Linked DNA regions of Sus scrofa. The protein of the gene in region 1 purifies or fractionates together with the protein of each later gene. This does not show direct contact. Links are inferred from orthologs where the notes say so. Each region holds a gene or a part of one and is shown on either strand. Other genes may lie near its edges.

Region 1 (2,356 bases):
TCTGAGCCACATCTGCAACCCATGCCACAGCTTGTGGCAACACCGGATCCTTAACCCACTGAGTGAGGCCAGGGATTGAACCCGCAACCTCACGGAGACAACACTGGGTCCACAACCCGCTGAGCCACAACAGGAATTCCCATAAAAATAATTTTTTATGTAATGTTAAATAAAGTGCAAATTAAGAAAATCTACTAATTGAGATAAGTCTCAACTTGTCACAGTTCAAACTACATACTCTTTTTAAGACAGCATATCTCTTCTGTCAGTAAGGTAAAACCACTAAGATCTCCATGTCATCTCCCCTATAGGAGCAAGAATAATCACATAAAGGGCTGGAAGATCTTCTGTCTCCATTGACTCAAATATCAGGTTGTCTTCAATGCAACGGGTTATATAAATAACTCTCTTTGTTTGAGAAAGAGCTTCCCTTGGTGAAACAAATTAGAATCTATGTTTGAGTTTTGTCAAACCACACAAAGAAAATTATTAACCATAAACTCAATTCAATAAATCTTTATTGAATTCCCACAGGGTGCGTGAATTTAGGATCTATAATTTACATAAGTAGAAAAGTGTTACTTCAGCCTTTTAAAAATAAAAAAAGCAAATTACACCTTCTCTATGTATTTTCAAGTGAATCATTTAATGTGAGGCTCAGTTTGATATTACCATAAGGATTAACAGAATAAAATGGGACCATATAAACATTTTCCTTTCTACCAAAAAAGGGTTTGATGCCAGGATAAACTAGCCTGTTGGTGTAACAACAGCTGATCAAAAAGGCTAGAGAATCTGGAAGTAAAAAATGTACTTGGAAGCTCTGTCCTCTGAGGACTCATTCCCCTGAGGGCAGCAAAACGCTGAAAAAAGTAACTGGCTCAAAAATTACATTAAGAGATCAAACAGAAGTCACAGCTTCGGGGGAAAAAAACTGAGAAAAGATGTCACAAAATGCACTTACATCATAATTCCAAAGTTTCCCTGGAGTTATAATAGCACTCTGAACTAACGAAAGGAGCTACAAACTCACGCTCCTTTGAACAGAGTGGTTTTAAATGACAGATTCTCCAGTGCACCAACTGTATTTTCAAGTATAATTCTAGTATTTGTACCTAGCAATACAGAAGAAAAAGCAGCAGGGAGAAAATGTCAAGTATAAAGGACATAAAAGGATTTGGCAGCCCTAGAATTCCCAGTTTAAGTCTTTTTCATCAGGAAAATCACATTCCGGCTCAGTCCAAGGTGACACTGGAGGCAGTGCTATTGATGGCTTGCGATAAGCAGGAGGCAACAGTGAAAGTATTGAACTCTGGCTTTCTTCTTTCATCTGTTAAAGAAACTCAAAATAAGGCTATTGGTACATGAATTCAATACATTAGTTACAATAGCAAAAGTGACTTTCAAAGAAATGTTAAAAGTGTTTACATTGTTTTTAGGCATTTTCACTTAAAAACGCCTCTGATTCTGGTCATCTAAGAAGTAACAGCCAAATAAACGGATTTTTATCAGATTATTTTGCCCTTGCTTCATTTCTAGCCAATACAGAAAAACAAAATGCTCTAATCAAAATATAAACTAAGGATAAAGTAATACAAGACAACATTCCATATTTTCACTCATTTTGTTTTTTAAAGTGGAAATATTTCATTTTCTTTTTATTTTTTTGGTGTAAGGGCAGGGGGGAAAGAGTGGAGCACCTGGGGCATGTGAAAGTTTCCGGGCCAGGAACTGAACCCCCTGCACCAAAGTAGCAACAACACTGGTCCTTAATCCACTGTGCCATAAGAGAACTCTAGAATGGAAATATTTTTTAAAAAGTCTGTAATTGAACTACCAAAAGGGTTTTCTTGATTTTAACTCTATCTTGTATGAAAGTTATTATTAAGAATCTTGGTAATGAAACTGTCTCATCAAGCCAACAAAATGACATGACTTTTTAATAGTATTAAAAAAACATCTAGACAACATAAAATAGATCATCTCACCTGTTTGAAGAAAACATGGGACAATAAACTGCTTGCTGATGGCCTGAAATTTTTTTGAAAAAATTATTTTAAAAAAGAACCTCACATTAGAATATAGATTTTTTTGTGTAAACTATACTAGAACTTAGGTCTAGAGCTCTAAAACCATACACAAAAATTAAAAGGAAAAACAATATATGTCAGGAAGCCAAACTCTTAGCTTCAACTTTGACTAATGAGAAGAATCAATTCTAAAGATAACATTCAATTGGTCCATGACTTAACGTTTATTATGCACTTACTAATTCTAAGGAACTACACTAGGCGTTAAGAGGCTAAAAAAAAAAAAGATCAAAAAGACACACACCTTATTTTCTAAATACTAATGC
Region 2 (3,991 bases), about 26 Mb from region 1:
GAGATACAGCAGCTATGAAAGCAACCTTTCTATAGTGCCTTTTAAAAAATACATCCCCTCATACAGCACACATATGTGACCTCTTCCATATCTGATGACAACACCTCCAAGTAATAAAATCTTTCTTTATTCAATAAGCAACAGGATCCAAATCTTGATCCTGTCAATAAATATACTTCAAACAAGAAAAAGCTTGGAGAAAGCCGTCTACAGCAGTAGATATTAAACATGACTACATTTTGTCTGAGGTAAATAATGCAAACATGTCAGAAAAAAATACACTTAAGAAGCTTCCCTTACACTTGGTTAAAAAAATTTTTATTTATTCATTAAAATTTTTTAGATTTATGTATTCATTTCTGGCCATGGTCCGCAGTGCCATGGTGAGGGATCTCAGTTCCCAGACCAGGGACTGAACCTGGGCTGCAGTGGTGAAAGTGCCCAATCCTAATCACTAGACCACCAGGGAACTCCCCTAAAAACCTTTTATATGGAGATATTTAATGACAAAAAAAGGAAAGCCTAATAGAAGATATATACTTTATAGATGACTTCATTAAGAGAAAAATAACATAAGAAGACTGAAAAGGAAATACGAAAAAATGTTAACAGTAACAAAATCTAAGTGGTAAGATTACAGCTAAGATAATTTTTTAAAATTCTATGTACTTCCTGCATTCTACAAGCCTTTTCACCTGAGAGAAGTTGACATTCACTTGTCATATGAGCAAACAACAAAGTTCTTACAAAACCAAAAAGGTTCTAAGCTGCTTCCATAGATCATATTTCTAAACTTCAAATACAGCTGCTAATTATTTGCTAGTGATATGGGTGAAAAAAAAGAAACAAAGTAAAGCCTCAGATTTTCACCTCTGGCTCGCCTATAAGAATTTTCACAACTAAAAACTAATAAAGAAATTTTTACCTAAAAAAAGTTCTATGTTACTAATCTTCTGGGATACAAAGTTGGACAGTCTGATTTTTTAAACCATCAACGTAGATGGCCTTACCCAAAAGCCAACTCAAAGAAGTGATGTTCAGCTCAGTAATTCCAAAATGCAGACACCTAATACAGAGCGCTGGAAGTTCTGATGCATTTTAGTGAAGAGCACCAAGAGAAACACCTTACGTGCAGATGAGCTTATTTTATATACATCTTTCCCTCACTTCTTAAGAGCCTAACATCGAATGAAGCTTTGCACAAAAGGTATTTTGCTTAGCCTGGACGTGGATTTATTTGAATATCCGGAAAGCTGTCAAAATCGATCTCAAACTGCATGACGTTCAAGGCACAGAACGTCAGTTCTGTACTGGGCCTCCTTCTCTCCTTTCTTTCATAAGAGCGCCTTTAACATCTCCTAGCTTACATTTCCGGGCCCATGAGTCACTGAGAAATGAGCTCTAAGTTACCCTTAGAATGCCACTCAAATAGCTCCTCTACGGCATTCAAGGATCTGCCCCCCAACTCTTTGGCCTACCCCCCACTGCCCCCCACGACAAACTGCATTATCTACTATTTCCGACTATGCCTTTTTACCTTTGTCCTCTAGCGTTGCTGCTCCTCCAACACACTGCTCCTCTTCTGCAACCCTCCTCTCTCCCAAATCCCATCTGGCCTTCAAGACCCCACTTTGCACAGCCTCGCCCAGGAAGCCTTCAGATTTCTGCTAGGCGGAAGTGATCGATCGGGCCGGTCTTCTCCGGGTACCCTTCTAGCATTTTGTAGTTCTTTCATAGGACTTATCATCTCCTTCCTGGTATCGTAGTCATTTGTGTACTCGCCTTATCACCCACGCCAGAATGTAAGCTCCTCGGGGGAGGGGACCGCGAGCCGGGGTTCACCTTCGAATCCCTCCGGCGCGGACCGACCAGAGCGCCTGCAGGCAGTCAGCGAGCAGGCTGGTTCAACCGACCTCGGGAACGCTCTGGCCGCACAATTCCTAACCAGAAAACAGTTAGGCATCTTCCCGAAATGCAGACCACAGAGATGCTATCTGCCTCCCGATAACAGGAAGTTTACCAGGGGCCAGGAGCAAGGTGGCCGGATCCCTTGCGCGGCGGGAGTGACAGTTGGCCCGGCCCGCACTCGCCTGCCCTCGGGGCTCCGGCCGCGAACGCCCCCATGCCGCCAGCCCCGCCAAAGAACTGCGGAGGGCTTGCAGGAGAGCGTGGCGCCCCGCAGCCCCGGCTGCAGGCCCCTGGGCGCCGAGCCGGCGAGGACGACGAGGGGGGTAGGCTCCGCGAGGGGCCCGGGCCGGGCGGAGAGGGCAGACCGGGCCGCTCCCGCCGATACCGGGCCGGGGCCGCCTCCACCACCCGAGAAAATGGAGGCAGCCCCGGGCCGGTGACGGGCCGGGCAGGGCAGGCGGAAGCCGGGCGGGCGTCCACGCCGCGAGCTGGGTCGGGCCGGGGGTCACTCACGGAGCTGGGCCGGGCGGCTCCCTCTCAGCCTCCGCGTCGTCGCCGTCCCCGTCCTCGGCCGCCGACGCCTCGGGCTGCTCGCTCGGTCCCCGCGGCGCGGCTCGGCCGCTCGGCCCCTCCGTTGTCTTCCGCCCGCTCCTGCTCCCAGCGACAGGATCCCGCGGCGGCGGCGGCGGCTGCGCGGGCGGACGGCGGCCCAGGGGCTCCCGCGGCGGCCGCCGCACTGCTGCGCTCGCTCGCTCTCTTGGGCTGCGGCTACGGCTCTGCTGCGGGGCCCCGCGCCGCCTTCACCCTCGCTTTCGCCCGGCTCCCGGAGGCTCAGTCTCTCCCAGGCCGCGCCGCTCCCCGCTCCCGGCCCGAGCCCGGCTTTGACGTGCGCACTGCGCAGCCGCCGAGGGCGCGACGTCGGGCGGCGCCGCAACGCCCCCTTCAGCCTCGGGCGCCCCCAGGCGGCTGGGCGGACTCGGGCGTAGGAGTCCGCGCTGAGGCCTGAGGCGGAGGCGGCTGGGGGAAAGCGGAAGCAGAGGGGAAGAGTTCCTCTCCTTTCACCTGCCACTGAAGTGTTGGTGCCCAGCCGCTTCTCTGCCTCAGCGCTCTTGCCAGAGGGATCCTAAATCCACTTTGTGCGACCACTTCCTGAACTCTTAACAAAGCTTCGTTTCGGCTAAAGGCCAGGGACCAAGTTGTGCAGATTGATTCCTTCATACTTGCCAGAGACGGATCACTCTCATTTTAACATCCTCCAAGAGAGCGTAGAAAGTGATAGAATGATCACTCTTAATAGGATTCAAAGCCTGGATTTAAACCTCAACTCCACCATTCAGTCACCATAGGCTATTGCCTGACTCCATTCCTATGTTCTTCCACTCTCTCTCTCTCTCTCACACACACACACACACATGCACAAATATAAGAGTACATACAGTACCATAAGTTTATGAGGATGAACGAGACAATGCATTGCAAAGCTCTGACAACAGACTCTGGTACATGAACATGCCACACGTGTACATTTTTGTTTCTTTAATTTGCAATCGAACAGGTGTTCTTGAGTATCTGCTGTGTGCCAGGCACTCTTCTAGATAGTGGAGCAGTGAACAAAAGAGACCCTGCTCCTGAGACAATAAATAAATAAACAGACATATGTATGACATTAGATGCTTTTCAGTGTTATGGAAATTGGGCTAAGGAGGGGAGAGAGTGCAGGCTATTGCTGTTTACAGCGCTCCTGCTGTGAGATATGTGTATGGAAAGGCAGAGGGAACAGCCAGGACAAAGCCCCTCAGGTGGGATACCTTGCAGCAAAACATGACCCCTGGGAAAGGGGAGTGGATGGAGATGAGGGAAGAGGGGAGACCCTATAGGCTAAAGTGAGGACTTTGGCTTTTACTCTGAATGAGATGGGGAGCTGTTTGGAGGGGTTTGAGCAGAGAAAGGATGTGGTCTAATATTTCAAAAGGATAACTCTGATTGCGGTGTGAAGACCAGCCTGAGCGGCCTGAGGGCTTCAGCCAGGACATCAGTTAGAAGTCTTCTGAAATAATCTGGTGATAAGAAGACTGGCAAGACC

Evidence for each region. Proteins that work in one complex are often made in the same cells at the same time.
Region 2: the proteins of STRADB (region 1) and CAB39 purify together in Homo sapiens (affinity purification with mass spectrometry; 3 studies listed by BioGRID and IntAct, counting the BioPlex papers as one, with this or other methods). This does not show direct contact. The link is inferred for Sus scrofa from reciprocal best matches to the Homo sapiens genes STRADB and CAB39.

What each region holds. Positions count from the first base shown.
Region 1 is NC_010457.5:105,081,574-105,083,929, reverse strand, and holds the end of STRADB (STE20-related kinase adapter protein beta), read right to left. Parts: intron 2,032-2,356; coding exon 1,989-2,031; intron 1,796-1,988; coding exon of another isoform or gene 1,701-1,795; intron 1,331-1,700; coding exon 1,187-1,330; 3' UTR 501-1,186; downstream 1-500. UniProt on the Homo sapiens protein: Pseudokinase which, in complex with CAB39/MO25 (CAB39/MO25alpha or CAB39L/MO25beta), binds to and activates STK11/LKB1.
Region 2 is NC_010457.5:131,491,384-131,495,374, reverse strand, and holds the start of CAB39 (calcium-binding protein 39), read right to left. Parts: upstream 2,801-3,991; 5' UTR 2,422-2,800; intron 1,656-2,421; exon of another isoform or gene 1,538-1,655; intron 1-1,537. UniProt on the Homo sapiens protein: Component of a complex that binds and activates STK11/LKB1. In the complex, required to stabilize the interaction between CAB39/MO25 (CAB39/MO25alpha or CAB39L/MO25beta) and STK11/LKB1.